Macaca fascicularis: one gene and its partners. The protein of the gene in region 1 purifies or fractionates together with the protein of each later gene. This does not show direct contact. Links are inferred from orthologs where the notes say so. Each region holds a gene or a part of one and is shown in the gene's direction. Other genes may lie near its edges. The genes, in order: SIN3A, BRMS1, NR0B2, HDAC2, OGT, ING1 and CHD3.

What was found.
Region 2: the proteins of SIN3A (region 1) and BRMS1 purify together in Homo sapiens (affinity purification with western blotting; 4 studies listed by BioGRID and IntAct, with this or other methods). This does not show direct contact. The link is inferred for Macaca fascicularis from reciprocal best matches to the Homo sapiens genes SIN3A and BRMS1.
Region 3: the proteins of SIN3A (region 1) and NR0B2 purify together in Homo sapiens (affinity purification with western blotting; 3 studies listed by BioGRID). This does not show direct contact. The link is inferred for Macaca fascicularis from reciprocal best matches to the Homo sapiens genes SIN3A and NR0B2.
Region 4: the proteins of SIN3A (region 1) and HDAC2 purify together in Homo sapiens (affinity purification with western blotting; 24 studies listed by BioGRID and IntAct, with this or other methods). This does not show direct contact. The link is inferred for Macaca fascicularis from reciprocal best matches to the Homo sapiens genes SIN3A and HDAC2.
Region 5: the proteins of SIN3A (region 1) and OGT purify together in Homo sapiens (affinity purification with western blotting; 4 studies listed by BioGRID, with this or other methods). This does not show direct contact. The link is inferred for Macaca fascicularis from reciprocal best matches to the Homo sapiens genes SIN3A and OGT.
Region 6: the proteins of SIN3A (region 1) and ING1 purify together in Homo sapiens (affinity purification with western blotting; 5 studies listed by BioGRID and IntAct, with this or other methods). This does not show direct contact. The link is inferred for Macaca fascicularis from reciprocal best matches to the Homo sapiens genes SIN3A and ING1.
Region 7: the proteins of SIN3A (region 1) and CHD3 purify together in Homo sapiens (affinity purification with western blotting; 3 studies listed by BioGRID, with this or other methods). This does not show direct contact. The link is inferred for Macaca fascicularis from reciprocal best matches to the Homo sapiens genes SIN3A and CHD3.

What each region holds. Positions count from the first base shown.
Region 1 is NC_088381.1:52,597,009-52,600,508, reverse strand, and holds part of SIN3A (paired amphipathic helix protein Sin3a), read left to right. Parts: intron 1-1,621; coding exon 1,622-1,829; intron 1,830-3,500. UniProt on the Homo sapiens protein: Acts as a transcriptional repressor. Corepressor for REST. Interacts with MXI1 to repress MYC responsive genes and antagonize MYC oncogenic activities. Also interacts with MXD1-MAX heterodimers to repress transcription by tethering SIN3A to DNA.
Region 2 is NC_088388.1:8,060,479-8,063,356, forward strand, and holds part of BRMS1 (breast cancer metastasis-suppressor 1), read left to right. Parts: coding exon 1-48; exon of another isoform or gene 49-963; coding exon 964-1,054; exon of another isoform or gene 1,055-1,254; coding exon 1,255-1,382; exon of another isoform or gene 1,383-1,541; coding exon 1,542-1,621; exon of another isoform or gene 1,622-1,717; coding exon 1,718-1,814; exon of another isoform or gene 1,815-2,373; coding exon 2,374-2,466; exon of another isoform or gene 2,467-2,878. UniProt on the Homo sapiens protein: Transcriptional repressor. Down-regulates transcription activation by NF-kappa-B by promoting the deacetylation of RELA at 'Lys-310'. Promotes HDAC1 binding to promoter regions.
Region 3 is NC_088375.1:208,192,675-208,196,785, forward strand, and holds NR0B2 (nuclear receptor subfamily 0 group B member 2), read left to right. Parts: upstream 1-1,311; 5' UTR 1,312-1,347; coding exon 1,348-1,879; intron 1,880-3,202; coding exon 3,203-3,444; 3' UTR 3,445-3,800; downstream 3,801-4,111. UniProt on the Homo sapiens protein: Transcriptional regulator that acts as a negative regulator of receptor-dependent signaling pathways. Specifically inhibits transactivation of the nuclear receptor with which it interacts.
Region 4 is NC_088378.1:17,995,119-17,998,618, reverse strand, and holds part of HDAC2 (histone deacetylase 2), read left to right. Parts: intron 1-1,151; coding exon 1,152-1,226; intron 1,227-1,693; coding exon 1,694-1,832; intron 1,833-3,500. UniProt on the Homo sapiens protein: Histone deacetylase that catalyzes the deacetylation of lysine residues on the N-terminal part of the core histones (H2A, H2B, H3 and H4).
Region 5 is NC_088395.1:78,293,671-78,296,394, forward strand, and holds the end of OGT (UDP-N-acetylglucosamine--peptide N-acetylglucosaminyltransferase 110 kDa subunit), read left to right. Parts: coding exon 1-114; 3' UTR 115-2,224; downstream 2,225-2,724. UniProt on the Homo sapiens protein: Catalyzes the transfer of a single N-acetylglucosamine from UDP-GlcNAc to a serine or threonine residue in cytoplasmic and nuclear proteins resulting in their modification with a beta-linked N-acetylglucosamine (O-GlcNAc).
Region 6 is NC_088391.1:101,291,285-101,295,522, forward strand, and holds the start of ING1 (inhibitor of growth protein 1), read left to right. Parts: upstream 1-1,438; 5' UTR 1,439-1,457; coding exon 1,458-1,605; exon of another isoform or gene 1,606-2,099; intron 2,100-4,238. UniProt on the Homo sapiens protein: Cooperates with p53/TP53 in the negative regulatory pathway of cell growth by modulating p53-dependent transcriptional activation. Implicated as a tumor suppressor gene.
Region 7 is NC_088390.1:7,972,755-7,976,254, forward strand, and holds part of CHD3 (chromodomain-helicase-DNA-binding protein 3), read left to right. Parts: coding exon 1-56; intron 57-537; coding exon 538-603; intron 604-1,053; coding exon 1,054-1,139; intron 1,140-1,289; coding exon 1,290-1,423; intron 1,424-1,555; exon of another isoform or gene 1,556-1,694; intron 1,695-1,984; coding exon 1,985-2,129; intron 2,130-2,300; coding exon 2,301-2,463; intron 2,464-2,557; coding exon 2,558-2,679; intron 2,680-2,784; coding exon 2,785-2,920; intron 2,921-3,032; coding exon 3,033-3,134; intron 3,135-3,321; coding exon of another isoform or gene 3,322-3,324; coding exon 3,325-3,450; intron 3,451-3,500.

The sequences.
Region 1 (3,500 bases):
AGGTGCACGCTACCATGCCTGGCTAATTTTTGTGCTTTTATTAGAGATGGGGTTTCCCCCAATTGGCCAGACTGGTCTCAAACTCCTGACCTCAAGTGGTCTGCCTGCCTCAGCCTCCCAGAGTGCTGGGATTATAAGTGTGAGCCACTGTGACTGGCCCATCAGAAACCTTCTTAAGTGAAACTGGCTTTTTTTCACTTAATGTCATTGTGCAGTCAGTGTGAAGTTCAAAGACTTGAATTGCAATTGCATGAGGTTACAAAATCGTGGAAGTAAAAGGATTCATTCATGGTACAAAATAAACCAATAGAGTTTGACAACTGTATGAAAAGCTCAGTGATGTATATAGATTGATATTGGAATTTGGTAACAATTTGTTCGATATTGCAAATACAATTTGGCGCCACCACCATTTTTATTCACCATTACGTTTATGGTGCCAGTGCAGATGTCAACACAGCAAAAAAGGGAAATAATATTTTAGTATTATTATGAAAATAGTTTTGATCTCACAGATCTCCTAAAAGGGTCTTGGGACCCTTTGGACAAAGAACTGCTGTCTACAGAAATACATGTATACAAAGATACTCACTAGAGCAATATTTTGGGGTTTTTTTTTTTTTTTTTTTTTTGAGACAGTATCTGACTCTGTCTCCCAGGCTATAGTACAGTGGTGGGATCTTGGCTCACTGCAACCTCCACCTTCTGGGCTCAAGCGATCTTCCCACCTTAACCTCTCAAGTTGCTGAGACTCTAGGCACACATCACCACACCTGCCTAATTTTTTTATTTTTTGTAGAGAAGGGGTTTTTGCCATGTCGCCCAGGCTAGTCTCAAACTCCTGAGCTCAAGCAATCCACCTGCCTCCCAACGTGCTGGGATTATAGGCATGAGCCACAACGGCCAACCTGAAGCAGTGTTTTTAATAGCAAGTTATGAGAAACAGTATAATTGTCTAGCTGATAACCTTTCTTCACTGGATGTTGAGGAGATTTAGCAAGCCTCCCACCCCTCAGGGCATCCATTCATGTGAATTATCTTCTTTCTTGTCTATGTAGAGTGGCACTAGTTTATATCATCTGGGGGAATTTTTAAAAATAGGCATTCAAATAATTTTTTGTTATGTGGTTCAGATGAGGAACCTCAGTTGAAATAAACTGTTAAGGAATGGTAAATTGGGGTACATTTTTCTGCAGCAGTTAAAGAGAATAAGACAAATCTGTCATGAAATGAAAAAATACTCATGACAGTAAGTGAAAAGTTGAGGACAGAATATATAGTATGATCCTATTTTGTCTTAGAAACAAATCCCAAAGCAGAATTATAGCTGGTAATTACATGTGTAAATTTACAGACGGAGGCCCAGAAGTTTCTCATTAAAACTCTTAACTGGCTGCATCTGCTAAGGCAAGTAGGGGATGGGTGAAGATTTCTACTTTTTATTCTGTGTACCTTTGCAGTTGAAATTTTTTTTGCAGTGAAACAACGGAACATTTTTGTATGTATTTAACAAATTGGGATGAGTACTATGTAAGCATATAATAAAGAAAACTCACTTGGGGGAAGTCACGGGAATCTGTGTCTGGATGAGCTCTCATCTTTCAGGGCTTTTCTGCCATAGGAATCTACGGCGGATCCGGAAATGTCAGCGTGGTCGAGAGCAGCAGGAAAAGGAAGGGAAGGAAGGAAACAGTAAGAAGACCATGGAGAATGTGGATAGTCTGGATAAGCTGGAGTGTAGATTCAAGCTGAATTCCTACAAGATGGTGTATGTGATCAAATCAGAGGACTATATGTATCGGAGGACTGCCCTGCTCCGGGCTCATCAGGTGAGAACCAGTAACTAATTTCTGTACACATCTGCCACCCTAGCTAGGAGCAGGGGAGGCCCAGAGTCTTCTGATTGTTTCTCTTTGTTTATGCAAACCTGTTCTTGGAGCTGAGACTTAGCTGAGGAAGTAGGTATGTTGGTTTGCTAAGGATGCTGTGACAGAGTACCACAGAGTGTGGCTTAAACGACAAAAGTTCTGGAGACTAGAAGTCCAAAGTCAGGTGTCAGCAGTGTTGGTTCCTTTTGAGGACTGTGAGGGACAATCTGTTCTAGGCCTCTCTTAGCTTCTGGTTCTTTGCTGGCAATCTTTGGCATTCCTGGGCTTGTAGATCCCTGCCTTTATCTTCATATGGTGTTTCTACCTGTGTGTATGTCTGCCTCCAGATAAGGTCACATTTGGAAGTACTGTGGGCCAGGACTTCAATATTTGATTTTTTGTTTGTTTGAGACAGTCTTGCCTGACACAGCCTCCCAAAGTGCTAGCTTTACAGGCACGAGCCACCACACCCAGCCAACATAAGAATTTTAGGGAGAACACACTTCAGCCCGTAAGAGCATATAAATACCTGGTGGCACCTTTTTAGTGAATTTACTCCCAGTATTTACATCTCAAGTAGTATCTGATCGTTTGCTTGTATGAATTCTACCTGTTTTTACATTCTATCTCAATTGTGAAACCTTCCTGCTGCAGCTGTGTACAGGGTGTTATGCCAGGCCCTGGGACTACAGCCATGAAGTTGATCAGATGAAGTAATGTGATGATATGCACTACCAGGGAAACAAATCAGGTGCAGTGATCAAGGGTAACTAGCATACAGGCCCTGCTTTCACTGGAGGAGGCTTCTCAAAGGAGGTGATGCTTGAGGCCTGAATAATGACAAGGAATTAGCCTGGTGAAGAGTAGAGGATGGGTGTTTTCTAGACAAAACAGCAAGTACAAGGCTGGGAGGAAAGAACATGGCATATTCAAGAAACTACAGACACCGTTGTGGCTCAAGGTTGCATGAAGTTAGAAGGGTAGGCAGAGGCCACATTACTTTGTCTAATAGGCCATGGTTTGGAGTTTGTTTGAGATGCATTGGGACATTTGACAAAGATAGCTTGGAGTGCTATGAGGAGAGTGGAGATGGGTATGTATAAAGTTGGAAGAGCAGAGACCACTCAAGGGTGCCCTTGTCCAAATGAGATTTGGGGACCACCCAGACTACTAGGGTGGCAGTGGAATTGCAAGAATTACATTGTAGATTTTATGTGTTTATTTATTTTTGAGACAGAGTTTCACTCTTGTCGCCCAAGCTGGAGTGCAGTGACCCAATCTCGGCTCACTGCAACCTCTGCCTCCTGGGTTCAAGCGATTCTCCTGTCTCAGCCTACTGAGCAGCTGAGATTACAGGCACGCGCCACCACGCCTGGCTGATTTTTTGTATTTTTAGTAGAGATGGGGTTTCACCATGTTGGCCAGGCTGGTCTCGAACCCCTGACCTCAAGTGACCCACCCACCTCAGCCTCCCAAAGTACTGGGACTACAGGCTACCACGCCTGGATGTAGATATAATTTAGATATTTAATTGACAAGAGATGGTATTGGATCAAATGTGGGGGTAAGCAAAAGGAGGACATCAAGGATGGTGCCTAATTCGTTTTGGGGTTTTTTGGTTTGTTTTGCTTA
Region 2 (2,878 bases), on another chromosome or scaffold:
AGGAGGAGCGGAGCGGCAGCCAGACAGAGTCAGAAGAGGAGAGCTCCGGTGAGCCCCTACACAAACACACACACACACACAGCCCCCACGCACAAGCATGCACATACATGCACATACAGCCCCTAGACACAAGCATACTCACACACAGCCTCTGCCACAAGCACACACACACAGCTTCTACACACAAGCATGCACATGCACACACAGCCCCTTCACACAAGCACCTACACACAGCCCCTACACACAAGCACATGCACACGCACACACAGCCCCTACACACAAGCACATGCACATGCACACACAGCCCCTACACACAAGCACGCACGCACACACACAGCTTCTACACACAAGCATGCACACATACAGAGCCTCTACACACAAGCACGCACACACACAGAGCCTCTACACACAAGCACGCACACACACACAGCCCCTTCACACAAGCACGCATGCGCACACACACAGCCTCTACACACGAGCACCCACACACACACACAGCCTCTACACACGAGCACACACGCACACAGCCTCTACACACGAGCACACACGCACACACACATAGCCCCTACACACGAGCACACATGCACACACACAGCCCCTACACACGAGCACACGTGCACACACACACAGCCCCTACACACAAGCACGCATACACACACACAGCCCCTACACACGAGCACACATGCACACACAGCCCCTACACACGAGCACACATGCACACACAGCCCCTACACACGAGCACACATGCACACACAGCCCCTACACACGAGCACGTGCGCGCACACAGCCCCTACACACAAGCACACACACACACACAGCCCCTACACACAAGCATGCATACAAACACACAGCCCCTTCACACAAGGACGCATGCACACACACACACATGAAGGACGCACATGCACACATGTGGGTACCCACCACCCCTCCCCAGAGCTAGCCCTTACTGGCCTCTTGTCCCAGAGATGGACGATGAGGACTATGAGCGGCGCCGCAGCGAGTGTGTCAGTGAGATGCTGGACCTAGAAAAGCAGTTCTCGGAGCTAAAGGAGAAGTGAGCATGGGGACACCTTGGGCTGGGTCTGCGAGGAGCTGGGATGAGGAGGTGGTGGGCCTGGTACTGGGCAGGCGTGGTTGGTGCCCAGGAAGTGCACGCCTAACACAGGGCTTGCTGTGGAATGGGTGCTGGGTACGTGTTTGCCCAAGAGCAATAGGTGAGCAAATGGGTGCACGGCTGCCTTTTTTACCACCCAGGTTGTTCAGGGAACGACTGAGTCAGCTGCGGTTGCGGCTGGAGGAAGTAGGGGCTGAGAGAGCCCCTGAATACACGGAGCCCCTTGGGGGGCTGCAGCAGAGCCTCAAGATTCGCATTCAGGTGGCAGGTCTGTGGGTGGTTCTGTGCCTTTTTCCCCTCCCAGAACCCATGGCACCCTGTCCCCTTCTTCTCTTGTTCCTCCCTGGCCTCACCCTTTGCTTTCAGCCCTCCTGTGTGGGCACCAGGCTCCCCAGCCAAGCAGGGTCCCTCCTTCCTTTCTCTGCAGGGATCTACAAGGGGTTCTGTCTGGATGTGATCAGGAATAAGTATGAATGTGAGCTGCAGGGAGCCAAACAGCACCTGGAGGTGGGCCTGATTGGGCACACTGGGGACAAGGCGGGGCGCAAGGCCTGAAGTGAGCTCTCCCCATCCGTCCTGCTGAGCTATTGCCCCCTCTTCCAGAGTGAGAAGCTGCTGCTCTATGACACACTGCAGGGGGAGCTGCAGGAGCGGATCCAGAGGCTGGAGGAGGACCGCCAGAGCCTGGACCTCAGCTCTGGTGAGCGCGAGAGCCCGGGCACCCCGGCCCTGGGCTTGGCTCTGTCAACGCCCACCCCTTTCTAGACTTCAGATGTCCTGAAGTCAAGGGGACAGTCAGAGGACCTGCCTCTTGGGGTCAGTGTGAGGACTGAAGGAAACCAGGCCTGGAAAGGGCCTGGCACACAGTAGGGGCTCGGGCAGAGTGGGTCTCCCTGCCCTCTTCTGCCCCTGCTCTTTCCAAAACAGGTATCAGTGTGACATGCAGTCCCATGCAATAGCTCTAGTCCCCTCCACGTTCATAGTACCTGTGTTCATGTGGAGTCCTGGGGTGGCAGGAATTGTCATCCCACTGTCCACTAAACAGATGAGGCTCACAGAAGTGCAGCGGCCTCTTCCCGGGGTTGCACAGCTGTGCGGGCAGGACCTGAACAGCCCTAAGGGGCTTCCTACCCCAAGCCCAGGGTTGTGATGGGGCAGGGGATATGAGGCCAGGCTGGCCCATGGTGGGGGCAGAGGCTACAGAAGAGAGAGTGTCCTGTGGGCCAGCACCCCAGTTCTAACTCTGGGTCTGGGGGCAGAATGGTGGGACGACAAACTGCACGCCAGAGGCAGCTCCAGGTCTTGGGACTCCCTGCCGCCCAGCAAGAGGAAGAAGGCACCTCTGGTTTCTGGTATCCTTTCACCTAAGGTGGCCTAAAAGGTGGCAGGATGTTAGGGTCACCTCCAGACCTGGGGGAGAGGTTTGGAGGGGACATGGAGGACAGTCGCACTAGATGCACTTGTGGTTGCTTGGTGTCATGTGACCATGTCCAGGCAAATCCAGCTGTCAGCAATTTCTTACAGGGTCTTGGGTCTCTCTGGGCTATGTGGACCCTAGGAAAACAGAAACGGGCTAGGCTCAGTGGCTCACATCTATAGTCCGAGCACTTTGGGAGGCCAAGGCAGGTAGATTGCTTGAGCCCAGGAGTTCATTTCGAGACCACCTTGGGCAACATGGTGAAACCCGTCTCTAGAAAAATTAGCAAAAATTAGCCAGGTGTGGCGGTGTGCATCTATAGTCCCAGCTACTCTGAAGGCTGAGGC
Region 3 (4,111 bases), on another chromosome or scaffold:
GAGACAGGGTCTTGCTCTGTTGCCCAGGCTGGAGTACAGTGGCATGATCTCAGCTCACTGCAACCTCTGCCTCCCAGTTTCAAGTGATTATTTTGCCTCAGCCTCTAGGGTAGCTGGGACTACAGGCACATGCCACCATGCCCGGCTAATTTTTGTATTTTTAGTAGAGACAGGATTTTGCCATGTTGGCCAGGCTGGTCTTGAACTCCTGACCTCAAATGATCCCCCTTCCTCGGCCTCCCAAAGTGCTGGGATTACAGGCATGAGCCACCATGCCCAGCTGGCAACTATCTTTTATTATAACTCTGTGAGTTCTTCTCAGCAGGACTGGACTTTCAGGAGTGGTAGGAATCAGGCAGGGAAAGGCCGGGCGCGGTGGCTCAAGCCTGTAATCCCAGCACTTTGGGAGGCCAAGACGGGCGGATCACGAGGTCAGGAGATCGAGACCATCCTGGCTAACACGGTGAAACCCCGTCTCTACTAAAAAAAAATACAAAAACTAGCCGGGCGAGGTGGCGGGCGCCTGTAGTCCCAGCTACTCGGGAGGCTGAGGCAGGAGAATGGCGTAAACCCGGGAGGTGGAGCTTGCAGTGAGCTGAGATCCGGCCACTGCACTCCAGCCTGGGCGACAGAGCAGACTCCGTCTCAAAAAAAAAAAAAAAAAAAGGAATCAGGCAGGGGATAGGGATTCTGAAGGACCTTATTCCTGCAGGGGGCCCAGAACTGAAACCAGAGGAAGGGGGCCTCCGAGACTGGACAGCGGGCAAAGTCCTCCCAGCCCCCCCAGGGTCCTGGCTCCCTTCCCTGTAGCCTGCTCCTGGCCGACAACAGAAGCAGGGCCCCAAGGTTAGGCAAACAAGCTAGTGATAAGGCACTTCCAGGTCGGGCCTTGCATTCAAGGCCCACCCAGCTCTGGGGCTGACTTCCTGGCTTAGCGAAAGCGCTAGTCTTTTGTGCACACAAGAGCAGGCACCAATGGGGACACCTGCTGATTGTGCACCTGGGGCCTTGGTGCCCTGGTACAACCTGGGTTAATGACCTTGTTTATCCACTTGAGTCATCCGATAAGGGGCAGCTGAGTGAGCGGCAGGTGGCCCTGTGCCCTGCACCGGCCACTTCATTGACTGAAGTGATATCAGTGCCACGTGGGGTTCCCAATGCCCCCTCCCCCACCACTTCCCCACCATTCCTGCCAGGGGCAGTGTCTGTGTGTTTTTTTCAATGAACATGACTTCTGGAGTCAAGGTTGTCGGGCCATTCCCCCCCTTCCACTCACTGGGAATATAAATAGCACCCACGGCGCAGAACAGAGGGCCAGAGAGCTGGAAGTAAGGGCAGATCCCAACCATGAGCACCAGCCAACCAGGGGCCTGCCCATGCCAGGGAGCTGCAAGCCGCCCAGCCATTCTCTACGCACTTCTGAGCTCCAGCCTCAGGGCTGTCCCCCGACCCCGTAGCCGCTGCCTATGTAGGCAGCACCGGCCCGTCCAGCTATGTGCACCTCATCGCACCTGCCGGGAGGCCTTGGATGTTCTGGCCAAGACAGTGGCCTTCCTCAGGAACCTGCCATCCTTCTGGCAGCTGCCTCCCCAGGACCAGCGGCGGCTGCTGCAGGGTTGCTGGGGCCCCCTCTTCCTGCTTGGGTTGGCCCAAGATGCTGTGACCTTTGAAGTGGCTGAGGCCCCGGTGCCCAGCATACTCAAGAAGATTCTACTGGAGGAGCCCAGCAGCAGTGGAGGCAGTGGCCAGCCGCCAGACAGACCCCAGCCCTCCCTGGCTGCAGTGCAGTGGCTTCAGTGCTGTCTGGAGTCCTTCTGGGGCCTGGAGCTGAGCCCCAAGGAATATGCCTGCCTGAAAGGGACCATCCTCTTCAACCCTGGTGAGCTCCCAGACACTCCTGGGTAGGGGGCAAGGCTGAAGCAGGAGCCAGCCAGGGAAGGTAACTTCTAAGGGTTTGATATCTGTAATCTCATGGGGTCCACATTTTCTTTTTTTTTTTTTTTTCTGAGACAGAGTCTCACTCTGTCACCTACTCTGGAGCGCAATGGCGCGATCTTGGCTCACTGCAACCTCTGCCTCCTGGGTTCAAGCAATTTTCCCTGCCTCAGCCTCCCAAGTAGCTGGGATTACAGGTGCCCGCCACCACTCCCGGCTAATTTTTGTATTTTTTAGTAGAGACGGGGTTTCGCCATGTTGGTCAAGCTGGTCTTGAACTCCTGATCCCTCTGGTGATCCACCCACCTTGGCCTCCCAAAGTGCTGGATTACAGGCGTGAGCCACTGTGCTTGGCCGGTTCCTCATTTTCATCAAATAGCCATCTCACAGAAGAGGTACAGAGAAGCTAAGTGACGAGCTAAAGGTAACACAGCCAGGTAGGGACAGACCAGGATGGCAACTCAGGTCTATTCACTCCAGAGACTGGCCCTTGCCACTCTGCCTGAGAAATTTGCTCTGACCTTTAGAGAAGGCTGCGGGGGAGGTGGGGTGGGCAGACACAGCTGTGTCTCAGTCACATCTTCAAAGGAAGGCTGCATGGTGAAGCTCTAGAGCTGAAACTCCTCTGTGGGTTCAGAAAGATCACTTAGAAGAGAGAACTGAAAGGGGTGTAGGGAGGACAGGAAGGGAGTCTTTGTGGAATTTGGCCAGGAGAGTGGCAGATGAGACAGTGCTCTTTGTAATCTGGAGAGCATCTGAGATGAGCGTTCCCCAGGAGTCCCTGTGGCACGCATAAATCGTAGTAGTTAATTGCAATAATAGTAGCAAATACTCATATCACACTTACCATATGTTAGGCCCTATTCTAAGGGTTTTACATATACTAGTTCATTTAAATCTCATAAAAACCTAGGAGACAGGTCCTATTAATATTATTATCCTCGTTTTACAAATAAAGAAACTGAAGCCCAGAGATTAAGTTACTTGCCCAAGGTCACCCAGCTAAGTGACAGTACTGGGATTCATACTCAGGAAACCTGATTCTTAACCATTACTCCATACTGCCTCTTCATAAATGGATGGATGAATACAATGGAAATTGATAAATAAATTACCTCCTCCAAAGGAGGAGGTAGTAGTGGGACCTCAAAGGCCGAGCAAAGGAGGCAGAGGGGTGTCTCTGATGGCCCAGATCTTGGGCCAGTCTCTTCCTTTGGTGGCTGGGAGTAGGATGCTCACCAACCCTCTTCTCCCTCTCTGCCCACAGATGTGCCAGGCCTCCAAGCCGCCTCCCACATTGGGCACCTGCAGCAGGAGGCTCACTGGGCGCTGTGTGAAGTCCTGGAGCCCTGGTGCCCAGCAGCCCAAGGCCGCCTGGCCCGTGTCCTCCTCACAGCCTCCACCCTCAAGTCCATTCCGACCAGCCTGCTTGGGGACCTCTTTTTTCGCCCTATCATTGGAGATGTTGACATCGCTGGCCTTCTTGGGGACATGCTCTTGCTGAGGTGACCAGCTGTAGCCCAGGCAGAGATCAGGTGGGCAGAGGCTGGCAGTGCTGATTCAGCCTGGCCATCACCAGAGGTGACCCAATGCTCCCGGAGGGGGCAAGGCTGTATAGACAGCACTTGGCTCCTTAGGAACAGCCCTTCACTCAGCCACACCCCACATTGGACTTCCTTGGTTTGGACACAGTGCTCCAGCTGCCTGGAAGGCTCTTGGTGGTCCCCACAGCCTCTGGGCCAAGACTCCTGTCCCTTGTTGGGATGGGAATGAAAGCTTAAGCTGCTCATTGGACCAGAAGTCCTACTGACTTTATACAGAACTGAATTAAGTTATTGATTTTTGTAATAAAAGGTATGAAACACTTGGAGCCTGATACTGTTGTTTGTGCATATAGAAGGGACTGTCTCACCTCCAGGGCCCACCCTGCTCCTATCAGAGGTAGCCCAAGGGAAAAAATCCACAGGGTTGCTGGAACTAATTTTCCAGGGAACAGTATCAGTTCACAATCCCATCACCTCATTGCCTTTATCCTCAGGGGAAGGAGGTTGCTCTCCTGTTCCCAAACCCTTCACTAACCACTCTCCTGGCTCCTACCCACTTCATGCGCCCTCTCACCACAGTTAAAGCCCAATCACAGCCAATCAGGAAGCAGTCCATTCCCGAATTGAAACAG
Region 4 (3,500 bases), on another chromosome or scaffold:
AAACCTGCATAATAATGACTTATATTAAGCTTATGATCCTGGCTGGGTGTGGTGGCTCACGCCTGTAATCCCAGCACTTTGGGAGGCCGAGGTGAGTGGATTACCTGAGGTCTGGAGTTCGAAACCAGACTGGCCAACATGGCGAAACCCTGTCTCTACTAAAAAAAGTACAAAAAAATTAGCTGGGTGTGGTGGCATGCACCTGTAATCCTGCTACTCAGGAGGCTGAGATAGGAGAATTGCTTGAACCCCGGAGGTGGGGGTTGCAATGAGCCGAGCTCACGCTATTGCAGCCTGGGCAACAGAGTGAGACTCTGTATCCAAAAAAAAAAAAAAAAAAAATTATGATCTATCTGAGCAGTAAGAAACTAAAATGTATTTCTTATAGTGCTTGTGACTTAAGGATGTACAAAGATATTAATATATAAAACAAGGACCCTTATTCTTGAAGAGGTTACAATTCAAGGGCATAGGGAAAGACTAAGAAAGGGTTATATATGTCTGCCATATCCCCTTCATTCTGTCAATACTGAGGAACTAAATGTGTGATGTTGTGTTATTTATCTGTATATGTTTTTTCCTTGTTGTCTTTAATGTCCTTCTGTATTTTGGCTCCCATGAACCTAGTTAATTCTTACAAGCTTTCAAGATCAAGATTAGCCACGGAAATAGGCAACCAGCTGTTACATCTTTTTGGTTTAGTAACTTCCTGACATGCATTTCAAAGTTACAGATATTAATACGTATTTAAGGAGTTTTAAAGAAAGTAAATCATACAGCAATTGAAGTTACTTTTAGAATGTTAACTTACTGTAATATTAAGGGGAAAGGTCTAGAAAATTTAAGCCTGTGTTTTAATTAAATGAGAACTGTTGTGCATAGACAACTATTGAGTTCTTGTTAATAGACCAGAAATATTCCACAGATACTCCTGATAAGATTTGATGATGATCTTTCACAGATAACACTGTAATTACCTTGGATAAAACAATAAATATATTTTAAAGTTGTAAACTTTATATTACACTGTGAAGTGTATGTTTGATGATTGCATCAAGCAAAAAAAGTATTTGTAGGAAATAGTTTTTGTAAGAAAAGGCTTTCATTAATTTGCAGAGTGTGTTGAAATTAATGAAATCCATCTTCCACAGTTAATGTTGGAGAAGATTGTCCAGTGTTTGATGGACTCTTTGAGTTTTGTCAACTCTCAACTGGTGGTTCAGTTGGTAAGTGCTAATACAATCAGATTTAAAAGTTGTTCTAAATTTGGTGTGTATCTTCCAGGTTATTTGTGTAAAGCAGGAGTTTTAATGATTGTGAATTTTGATAACAAAAGGAAATCAGTATGTTTATAGTACAGTACAATTTGCTTTCAAACCTCTGTTTTGTTATTGTGACTTAAATACTTTTGTAACTTACATTTTTCACTTACAGACTTCTTTCATCCCCCTTGTCTTCTAGCTATCATTGTTAGTACCACCATCTACATAAACCATTATTTAATCTCAGGGCGCAGCTCTGGGAGAATGTTTTTCTAAGGAGAAACTCCTATTTATGTCATAGATGATTTTTGTTAAGTTTTATGATTTTAAGCTCTTTCTTATGCATGGCATACACTTGTAGGGTTTTCGTCTCGTTGTACTAATTTTTTATGTTAAATATTTAAAAAGTCTACCTTGTTTCTACTTCTTAGCTGGAGCCGTGAAGTTAAACCGACAACAGACTGATATGGCTGTTAATTGGGCTGGAGGATTACATCATGCTAAGAAATCAGAAGCATCAGGATTCTGTTATGTTAATGATATTGTGCTTGCCATCCTTGAATTACTAAAGTATGTTAATTTATATTGGTACTTTTTTCAGTGATAAAATGTTTTCATTAAAACACAATAAAAGTCTGTGGCTTAAAAAAAATCAGGTAAGCCATAGGTTGAAATAGTTAATGGTGAATTTTCTGGGAATTCATTACAAAACAATGAAGAAATGCAGGGAGTTTGCCCAAATCTTCAATTATTAAGAGTTAGTGTGTGGCCAGGCACTATGGCCGAGGCCTGTAATCCCTACACTTTGGGAGGCTGAGGTGGGTGGATCTCTTGAGCCCAGGAGTTTGAGACCAGGCTGGGCAACATGGCAAAACCCCATCTCTGCCAAGAAAAAAATTAGCCAGATGTGGTGGCATGCATCTGTAGTCCCAACTACCCAGGAGGTTGAGGTGGGAGTATCTGAGCCCAGGAAGTAGAGTCTGCAGGAAGCCATGTTCCTGCCACTACACTCTAGCCTGGGCAACAGTGTGAGATCCTACCTTAAAAAAAGAATTAGAAGTGTATAAAAGGCTGGGTGCCCGTGGCTCACGCCTGTAATCCCAACACTTTGGGAGGCCAAGGTGGGTGGATCATGAGGTCAGGAGTTCAAGACCAGCCTGACGAGCATGGTGAAACCCCATCCTACTAAAAACACAAAAATTAGCTGGGCATGGTGGCACGTGCCTGTAATCCCAGCTACTCAGGAGGCTGACGCAGGAGAGTTGCTTGAACCTGGGAGGCAGAGGTTGCAGTGAGCCAAGATCATATCAGTGTACTCCAGCGTGGGCTACAGAGCAAGACTCTGTCTCAAAAAAAAAAAAAAAAAAAAAAAAAGAATTAGAAGTGTATGTAAATGTCAAAACTCCCATTAAATATCCTTTTTTAAAAGTAGTTTGGCAGTTTTCATTTTAGTTAGTTTCAACTAATAAAAAATGACAATGACCTTGGAAGTTTATGTTCTAGTATTTTGTAAATTGTAAATTGAAGACAAAAATTTGAAACCAGTATTTAAGGAAATTTGTTTACCTGTTGAGTTAGTCTAACTGCCTAACTTCCATATGTGAATGAGGCTTTGTTCTCTACTGATGGATATAAAATTATCTCTGAGTTGCTGCAGGAGTTATTTTTCCTTAGCTGTGGCTGCAGTTTGAGAGAGAGAGATCTGTAGAGGTACTTATGAATGTGGACATTTGCAATGTTATTTTTTGCCATCAGTTATGACACATCTTAGCAGATTCTACTTTATATTGTACTGAGCTGTTTTTTGCTTGTAGTTATTCCATGCATGCTATCCATAGAGGCTGATTTTTCAGTCACTGAAAATTGATACTGACTCCTCAAATAAACAGTAATTGAGCAGGATCAGTGTAACATCTTGTCAGCTCATCAGGAGCAAAGGAAAATCATTTGCAATCATTTGCCTTGTGTTTTAATTGACTGTTGATGTTGGTTCCAGTGTCTTCAACTCTTTGAGCAAGTTCTTGCCCACTCAGCTAATAGTTTTAAACAACTTTAATTTCTCTGGACACAATTTTTTTGGGTGGTGTAATCAAACATGATTTAATAAATTGACTTGGTGCACAGCTTTCCTTGCTTATCTAACACATGAGCCACTCAGAAACTTTACCTTGATCACAGCCTCATTTCTGTTTTTTAAATTTTGTGAAGAAATTTTGCTATACTATTATACGCTCTTTA
Region 5 (2,724 bases), on another chromosome or scaffold:
AAACAATACACAATGGAACTAGAGCGGCTCTATCTACAGATGTGGGAGCATTATGCAGCTGGCAACAAACCTGACCACATGATTAAGCCTGTTGAAGTCACTGAGTCAGCATAAATAAAGACTGCACAGGAGAATTACCCCTATACCTGAGCCTCAACCTTCTGGGGGAAAGGGAACTAGATAACATACTTCTTACTTGTCTGTACAGTACCTTGTTGCAGATGGGTGATATATAATGGTAATAGAATAGCACAGCCAGACTTGCTTCCTGCATGGTAGGGAGAGACACAAGAGATGGGAAACTGCTGTTCCACAAGGAATCTCCGTAGAATTTTGCAGCGACCAGATGGTGCATAGGTCTGGAAGGTCTGATCTCCCTTGGTCTCTTCCATGGGATGGTTAGTGTGGAGGGGAGATATAGATTGTCCGGCCGCTTTGTGATTCCATGGATTGATTCAGTCTTCTGGATTAACTTTTTTCTTTATATTTTGGGTACTGGAGCTTTTAAAAATGTTTGGTTTCAGGTATTTTTATTCATGTGAAGTGTATATGATTCTCTTGAGATAAGGTTTTAAGCTAAAATGTTACTCCCTGTTTTAGTTTCTGAACTCTGACAGATCGACAGGGACTTTGCTGGTGTAGTCTTTTTATAGGTTTTATAAACCACTTGAGCCTATATCAGTCGTTTTAGTGTCTGACCTAATGTTTGGAGCTATCAGTGCTTTGTTGATTTAGATGATGACTCAAGATTTTTTCTGGTCCATTTCCCATTTCCTTCTCTTCCCTGACCCCCATACCCCCACCCTTAAAATTCTCCTGTAACTCAACTAACAAAATCAAGTCTGATTCAAAACATCCTAGGGTGTTTCTCTTAAACACGCCATCTGGTGCCAAATGAAAATTTTTAGGAGTGATGACTAATTATCAAGGGCACAGTTGTGGTACTGTCATTGATAATAATATAGTTTTTTTTTTTTTTTTTGGCCTAATTTTGACCTGTTTCACCAGTGTTTTACCCTTGACTGCCCCTTCTATGCTGCTTCCAAAAGTGATAGTGTGTGTAAGATTTTTACCTTCCTTTCTAAAGTTTTTTTTTTTTTTTCTTAAAGTGAGTCCTGTTCTTCCTATTTCTTTCAGCAGAAATGAAATCCCAGGTAAGTATAAGTATTCAAGTATTTGATCAGTAAGTCACAGTTATCTCCAGTGCATTAAATAACCTTCATCAAGAAACAGGTTATAGGTAAAATCTCTGAAGGACCATCTGTGTATTCAAGTAATTATATTTTAGATATTCTGGACTTGGTCTTGAAGTCTGTACAGATTCAGCCTCAATAGTAGCAAACTGCACTGCTATTTGGTTTGGAGTACAAATTAGACTTATAGTCCTCCTGGAACTTGAGTTATTAAAGTCATAGGAATAAAATTATGGGATCTCAACAGAGTCGAGGGTTTGAGGCTTAAACAAGCCAACATATGAATATATGTTTTGTCTCGCTGTACTGCACTTACGCTATCCAGTCGCAGGTAATTTTTTGTCTGCCAGTAGTGTTCTAGATTATGTCTTTCCAAAGCGCTGAGGCTGTGCACCTATTCTGTAGTTGCAGCTGATGCCTGAATGTATCCTAGCTGACAAATTATTGATTAATAAGAACTTGCATTTCTGAAAGATGCTTACTGTTAACCAAATTTTGAGCTAGGAGTCTCAAAGGTAATTCTGAACCAGAATTACATGTTAATGAACAGTGTACCTTTTAACAATGTAAATCACGGAATATCCGTGAAGGGATTTCTTAATTTATTTTTTACTGGATGATTGAAATACCAGTTAAAGGTTGCCAGCATGGTTGCAGATAAACTGACGTTTGAAATTCACCGAACTACTTAATGTGGAATAGGGTAATATACTTCCAATGCCCTCAAGGCTGTGACCTTACAGCCATTTTACATAGCACATCATTCCTCCTACAGGGATGAACTTTTTCCTGGCACGAAAAGTAGCCGCTCTGGTTGAAGCTTTGCTTATTGTAACAGGCTTTTATTTCCAGGTAACATGTCTGTGGAAGACTTAATTCTGATTAGAGATATAGATATTACTGGAAACTAATTGTTTTTTTTTTTTTTTCTATTGTACTCTGCTTTATCAAAGAAGTAAAACATTTAAATCGTGCTACAGAAATTAAGATGTTGTCTTGCGATCCTTAAACAATAAATGATTTCCCCTTAATACGGCTGATGTATTTTGTGTCCTGTTATATTGAGTGGCTTGATGAATAGGGTCATCCAGTGATGAAACCTGTATTTGAACAGCCTCAAACAGCAGCAAAGGACCAAATTTCCCTTCTGTAGCTATGATATTAGGAATTGTTTTCTCAGCCAGGTCTGGTGGAGGGTGGTGGGTTAGTTTATGATCCATTAAGGCGGCAAAGTGGCTGGATGTGGTGGCTCACGCCTGTAACCCCAGCACTTTGGGAGGCCGAGGCAGGTGGATCACTTGAGGTCAGGAGTTCAAGACCAGCCTGGCTAACATGGTGAAACTCCGTCTCTACTAAAAATACAGAAAACTAGCCGGGAGTGGTGGCACACACGCTTGTAATCCCAGCTACATGTGAGGCTGAGACAGGAGAATCGCTTGAACCCAGGAGGTGGAGGTTGCAATGAACTGAGATCGTGCCATTGCACTCCAACCTGGACGACAGCCTGTGATCCCCAACACACCCATTCATG
Region 6 (4,238 bases), on another chromosome or scaffold:
GCTCCGCAGCGGCGGCCCTCGGCAGGGGCAGGAACAAAAGGTCTGGAGCGCCTTTGATTCGCCAAGGTCCTTGTGTGCAAAGCCCGGGACACGGAGGAGGAAGGAGGCGCGAGAGGTCTCGCTGCAAGGCTGCGCGACCAAAGCGCTCTTTGTAGTGAAGTGATGAGGCGGGTGCTGCGGGGGAGGGGGCGGCGGGTCCAAGCCGCGTCCTCTAGGAGGGGGTGCAGATTACGGCGCGAGATGGAGGGATGTGCCGGCGCCTGGGGCTGTAGGACGCCGAGATGTGGCTGCAGGAGGAGGGCGGCTGTGGGCCGGGGTTCCCGCGGACCCGGTGCCTCGGTCCGGAGCAACGCCGCTCCCCTGGCCCTTCTTCGCCGCCCCCCACCCAGTCCCCAATCCGAGTGTTACATAAAGTACCGGGTAGTACTCCGTTCGGGGTAGCTCGGTCGCCCCCGCCCAGTCCCCTCCGGCCCTCACTTGGCACTGGACACCGAGTAAGGGCCGACTGCGAGGGGCGACGCCGCCGGTTGTAGTTTGCGGAGGACGAGGGTTTTTCTCTGTGTGCCGTGGGGAAGGGAAGGGGAGGAGCGGAGGCGGGGAAGGCGCCCATCTGCGCAGCGCTGCGCTCGGGGGGGCGCGGGCAGATCGCTGGGTTGGAGAGGATTGTGGCAGATGAGAGGACCTGTGGGTCGTTCTCTGCAGATCTGGCCGCCCAGGGTGTCAGAGAGAGGTGGCGAGTTCGTGTCCGCCGGGAATTGTTGGCTGTTGGGGAAAGTTTTCTGCGAGGTCAGTCAAGGCTTTGGGGGCTCTGTTTTGAATGTGGATCACCACTCCGAGTTTACTAATGTTTACAAAGCTACGCAGTAGGGAAACGGAAGAGTTAGGTGGGGGCAAAAAAAAATCCATCGCCATGCCCGAAAGCACCAGATACCCCTACCGGGAAGGCGCCCCTGCGCGCTCTATCCAAGACGTAGCTTCGCAGCTGCTTTTATAGGAATCTCATTAGCATACTGTGGAACGTCCCGCCTCAGCCTTCCGGTGGTTGGCTGTGACGTCCTTCGTGGAATGTCCTTATCATTCCCCTGCGGAACGATTGGTCGCTGAGGCGGATGAAGGCGGGTGTAGCGCAATAACTGGCATGGGTCTGTGTTTCCGCTGTCTTCTTTTTTCTTTTTCGGGGAGGAGCGGGGTGGAGTGTGGTTGATTTGAACGTCTTCGGGTCGCTCGGCCTCCAGCCTCGGATTGGGCCTTGTCGCTGCTGGGGCGGGCTGTGCTCTTCCGCCTTGCGGTGTGGTTGGTTCTCCTCCTGGCCTCCGCCCTCCAAATCGGCGATTCCCATATGCGGCGGCTCTCGGGGGGCGCGGCGAGTCTCCCGCTGGCCTCCTCCCCATTGGCTGGAGGGCCGGCTGGTGTCGCCCAGGCCCCCACTCAGCACTGCCACTTTTGGGCGCGGAGTTATGGCAGTAGCGGGGACCCCAGGGCTGGGGGCTCGGGGCCGGGGCTGCAGTTCGGGCCGCCTCCCGCGACCCGCGAGACCGGCCCGCAGACAGTCCCAGGCCGCATCTTTGCTGACCCGAGGGAGGGGCCGCGCGTGGCCGGGGAAACGTGAGTGACTGGGGCTGCGTCCACGAGCGGGACCCTCGGCGCGGGAACTTTCCTGGAAGGTGCTGTCCTCGGGGCGGGCGGGCTCCGTGGAGTGACCCTGGGGCTCCGGACGGAAGGGAGGCAGGGGCTGAGACCACTCTGATCGTTCAACGATAGAAAAAAGCGCGGGGCGGGGTGCAGGGTCCCAGCCGTCAAGACAGCAAAGTTCACGGAGCCACTTTGTTCTCCTGTCGTTGCTGGGGAGAGCCTGGCTTGCTGCTTGCTTCAGGTTCACCTAGGATGATGAACTTTTTGGCTTCAGGAAAGATCACAGTCCCGCGCCTGCGGGAGTACTGGAGCCGTGCAACTGGTAGCGCTGAGAAGCGCGAGAATCTGTCGCAAGGGTCACAGCTCCTTGGACTTCGCTGTAAATGCTGAGCTCTGCTGCGTAGTTCTGAAAGACGAAGCTTGTTTTCACAGATCTACTCTACAGGAAGTCAGACGTCTTTTGCTTAGTAGGCATCGGTTGTCTGTTAATTCGTAAACATGGATTATAATTAGTTTATCGATTTAAAATGGTGTTTGAGATTGCTTGAATTATTTTTCAAACATTATTATAAAAATACCTACCCACCCCCTGGGAAGTCCGCTTCATAAAGAATTTCAGGGCAACCCTTACGTAAAATTAAAATACATTTAAAATAATTGGACAAACCAATTTCAATGTTGCTACAATCTCATTTAATCTGTAAATTCCATGTGTTGCTGCTTTCCATGGTAATGTTGGTGTGGAGTATGTTTGGAAGAAAGGTAGCAGTGTGTCTGAAGCTGAGTTGCTGGCATTCAAGGAGCAGAGTGTCTGGAAGGATGGCTTCCTATTTCGCAGTGGTGGTGTTCCTGTCTATAAATATTTGTACTTAGTGGTTTTGTTGATAAAATACTTTGTTTGGGGTATCAAAGAACTATTAGGTAACAGAAATACTTCTTGGTAATTTTGCAATGGGATATCTGTTTCTCTTCCCCACAAATTAGGCTTCGTCTGGATGGAAGCTTGCTTGTGATGCCAAATAACCTCTGTGTTATTAAATTTTAAATTTATATGATGGTTTTCTTTTCCATCAAATGACAATACTGTCTTTAGAACTTTGATTACTGATGAAAAGAAGTGATACCATTTTATAAGCCTAAATCCATTTAAAAATAAATGGTACACACTCATATTTTAACATCTATGATAAATAAGTTGGATAAATTGGTATTACTTGGATACGTTGAACACAGCTATTTATTTTTATAATTAGTGACTATTTGAGACTAGGGCATTCCTCCTGGTGGCAGGCAGCCTGCATTGTTCCTCTAGGAAATGTCTTCAGAGCTGTCTTTAGCTTGAGAATATACTCTGGAAAATAATACCATTTAGAGAAGCTTCAGCGTTGGCCCAACTTCTTATGTTTACTCTAGTGTTAGGTATATATCTTATAACTATTTGGAGATAAGATCTGGAAAGGGAGGGGGTACCATTTTAGACAATCCCTCCCACTCCCAGCCCCTCCCCATACACTTCCTAGTTTACAAGTAGTATTGTTGGCCTGGCACGGTGGCTCACTCCTGTAATCCCAGCACTTTCCGAAGCTGAGGCAGGCGGATCACGAGGTCGAGAGTTGGGAGACCAGCCTGACCAACATGGAGAAAACCCTGTCTACTGAAAATACTGGGCGTGGTGTTGCATGCCTGTAATCCCAGCTACTCGGGAGGCTGAGGCAGGAGAATCGCTTGAACCTGGGAGGCCAAGGTTGCAGTGAGCCGAGATCGCGCCATTGCACTCCAGCCTGGGCAACAAGAGCAAAACTCCGTCTCAACAAAAAAAGTAGTATTGTTGCCTTGTTTAAAGAGACTGCAAAAAGGTTTTAGGAGAATAATCTGGTACTGTTTAATTTAATGGTTATTGTTTGAGGAAAAAGAGCTCTGGAATTTCTTTGTGAGTAGCCTTTTGGCAAGACTGTTTACTGCCCTTATTTCAACTAGATTTTTTTTTTTTTTTTTTTTTTTTTTTTTTTGAGGCGGAGTCTCGCTCTGTCGCCCAGGCTGGAGTGCAGTGGCGCGATCTCGGCTCACTGCAAGCTCCGCCTCCCGGGTTCCCGCCATTCTCCTGCCTCAGCCTCCCGAGTAGCTGGGACTACAGGCGCCGCCACCACGCCCGGCTAATTTTTTTTGTATTTTTAGTGGAGACGGGGTTTCATTGTGTTAGCCAGGATGGTCTCGATCTCCTGACCTCGTGATCCGCCCGTCTCGGCCTCCCAAAGTGCTGGGATTACAGGCTTGAGCCACCGCGCCCGGCCTCAACTAGACTTTTTTAACAGCTTTTGTTTCTTGAGAAATTGCCTAATTACACTTTAAAATCATATGCACTGTCCTCTAACATGCCCAAGAAGTTTTATATTTAAATACTGAAGAGGTTTTCTTTTCTTTTTGATGGCATTTTAAAGTCCATTGACTTTAATAGATGTGAAGATGTTTTTGTTTAAGCAGTAGATGCAAAAGTAAAATCTACCAGCTTTGTTTTAAAGCAAGGCTAGTACATTCACTGCAGTTAAAAAATAATAATAATGACCCATTACAGTTGTGCTCCTGTAGTCCTAGCTACTCAGGAGGCT
Region 7 (3,500 bases), on another chromosome or scaffold:
GGGCAAGCGGGTTCGCAAGCAAGTTAACTACAATGATGCTGCTCAGGAAGACCAAGGTGAGGACTGCCCCAGATGCAGGCAGTAAAAGTGGGGGAAGTGATGATGAGAAGGGACTTAAGGCTGGGGCTACTTAGAGAGTAAGAGAGAAGCCTAGAAGTCAGAGCCTTTCCCTGCTAAAAGGGAAAGACGTAAGGTAGAGTCATTAGGAACTACCCGGAGGCCAGGTGGGTTTGCAGGTGATTTAAACTATTTGGTGGTTGCACAGGCATCCTGTGGACACCCAGGGCCACTGCTTAGAGTAGGTTTGGCAGGAGAACCAGAGGGGCCCAGAGACTGAAGGTGGGCGGTGAATGGAGATGCTGTAGGATATGCGGCTCCCAAGTCAGACTTCAGGCAGTGACCTGGCGTTCCCAGAAGGGCCAAGGCCAGAATAAAGGTAGACAAGTCTCGGCAGGGAGGAAGCCAGCCAGAAAGGGCCCCAGCATGGGCATATCCCGAGAGACCTCCCTGACCACTGGGCCCTCTCCACCCCCACAGACAACCAGTCAGAGTACTCGGTGGGTTCAGAGGAGGAGGATGAAGACTTCGATGAACGTCCTGAAGGTGGCATCTGTGTTCCTGACTCTTACCTCTTACCATTTTATTTTTCAGTTTGCTTTAAGCCCACTGTTTTTGTACAAGTAAAAAATCTTTGTGTGTGTGTGGAAAAACTCCATTGCAGATGAGCAGAAAGGAAGCAATGTTGATAGTCTCTCCACTAGTAAACTTCGGTTTGTGTGACCACATAGACTAGATCAAGAAAGGCTGAATCATTTTCCATTTCCACTGGTAATCTGGGCCTTTGTCAGATATCAGCTATTAATTTTAAAATATGACTAGTTCTTTTACAGTCACTGGGTTAGTAGTTCTGAAGTGCTTGGGAGAGAATTGGGAGCACCTCAAACATGATAGGAATGTTCCTGTGTTCTGTGTCTTGTGGGAATGGGGTGCTAAGGAGGACTGAGGCTTAGAGGAGGTGGTGGATCAGCTAATTGATGTCATCCCCACTCTCAGGGCGTAGACAGTCAAAGAGGCAGCTCCGGAATGAGAAAGATAAGCCACTGCCTCCACTGCTGGCCCGAGTCGGGGGCAACATTGAGGTGAGAGCTGGGCCCAGTGTTCGTGAGTTCTCCAAGGAGAGCATGAGGGCAGAAGGTTGGAAATTGGGGCCTGGATCACTGAGGGTAGAAAGGACAAGACCTAAGAACCCTGGACATTTGTCGCCATTGCCTCGTTGCCCCCACCCTCAGGTGCTGGGCTTCAATACCCGTCAGCGGAAGGCTTTCCTCAATGCCGTGATGCGCTGGGGGATGCCACCACAGGATGCCTTCACCACGCAGTGGCTGGTGCGGGACCTGAGGGGCAAGACTGAGAAGGAGTTTAAGTGAGTGTGGGTGATGCAGGGCTGAGTTGGACGCAAGGGTAAGAGCTTTGGGTGTTCCATTCTTCCTTGGGGCCGCCATATGATGTGACCTTACTCAACTGATTGTCACCCTCCCTACCATACAACGCTTCCTGGCTCGATTTCCTGGGGGGTGGTCTCAGCCCACCCCACCTCCCCTCAGCCGAGCCTAGAGTAGAGGGGCCAGGCATTCTCCCCAGGGGAGAGGTGTTGAAGCAAGGAACCTCTCCTGGGCTGTCCTAGCCTCACATTTACTTGGCCACAATCACCTGGCAGGAGGAGCTGGTGGAAAGGATGAAGAGCTGACTGATGGGGCCCAGGAATTAAGTACCAAGGCCAAGGGGATAGGCCAGGGATGGGGCGCAGGGGCACGGTTAGGACTTGGAGGGCTGGTAATGGTGAGAGTGAGAGGCCCAGGGGAGGAGCCCTGGAGCATCTGGGGATTTGGGGACTTGGGGGTCCTCAGTCATCCTTGCATCTTCCTCACTGCCCTATACCCCTTCTGTGGCTTCCCTAACCGTCCTCCCACCCCATGCTTCTTAGGGCCTATGTATCTTTGTTCATGCGCCATCTGTGTGAGCCTGGGGCAGACGGCTCTGAAACCTTTGCCGATGGGGTCCCTCGGGAGGGACTGAGTCGCCAGCAGGTGTTGACCCGCATTGGAGTCATGTCTCTCGTCAAGAAGAAGGTATCAGTCTTCCTCTCACCCAAAAAATCAAGCTGGCTGCCTAGTCTCTGTCCTTCCTCTGCCTCTGTCCCTGAGTTGTAAGCTCGCGCTGGTGTGAGACGGAGGAGACTGGAGTTTCCTGTCTGTATGTCTGTAAGTGCCTGGAGCTGACACCTGTCCTTCCCACCCCAGGTGCAGGAGTTTGAGCACATCAATGGGCGTTGGTCAATGCCGGAACTGATGCCCGACCCCAGCGCTGACTCTAAGCGCTCCTCCAGAGCCTCCTCTCCTACCAAAACGTCTCCCACCACTCCTGAGGCTTCTGCTACCAACAGTCCCTGCACCTCTAAACCTGGTAATCAGAAATCAGGATGGTGGGAGAGACAGAAAGGGAGCCAGGAGTCAGGGCAAGAGAACCTCTGTCTTTATCACTGTGCCTTCCCCTGCAGCTACTCCAGCTCCAAGTGAGAAAGGAGAAGGCATAAGGACTCCTCTTGAGAAGGAGGAAGCTGAAAACCAGGAGGAGAAGCCAGAGAAGAACAGCAGAATTGGGGAGAAGATGGACACAGAGGTGTGTGGCTCCCTGGATTCCCCTGTGGAGTGGGAGGGGAGGGGGCTTGGAGGCCAGATGCCTGGGAGCCCTCCAGCTCATCCTGACCCCATTGTCCTCTTACAGGTTGATGCCCCCAGCCCAGCCCCATCACTCGGGGAGCGGCTGGAGCCAAGGAAGATTCCTCTAGAGGATGAGGTGCCAGGGGTACCTGGAGAGATGGAGCTTGAACCTGGGTACCGTGGGGACAGAGAGAAGTCAGGTGGGTGCATGGCCTTAGGAGTGATGGGGGATTAGAATTTGGGATGTCCCTCTTCTGGGGTCAGAGGATGAGGGTAACATCCTCCCTTCCTATCCCCTACCCCCTCCCACAGCCACAGAGTCGACGCCAGGAGAAAGGGGGGAGGAGAAGCCGATGGATGGACAGGAACACAGGGAGAGGCCGGAGGGGGAAGCAGGGGATTTGGGCAAGAGAGGTAATGGGTGGAAGGACCGGACACCTGGGTCCCTGAGGGCATCAGGGGAGGTGGAGTCTGGGGAACCAAATGCTTGGGTCCTGGGCGGGTAGCTGTTTGAAAGGCCAGGACAGCACAGTACAGATAGTAGTCTTGGGACCTGGGAGGAGGGTGTCCTGAGGTGTGAGCTTTCACCTGTCTGTCCTAGCAGAAGATGTAAAAGGTGACCGGGAGCTTCGACCAGGGCCTCGAGATGAGCCACGGTCCAATGGGCGACGAGAGGAAAAGACAGAGAAGCCCCGGTTCATGTTCAATATCGCAGATGGTGGCTTCACAGGTTGGGGAGACTCTTGCTGCTTTCTGCTCCTCAAGGGGATCTGCTCATCC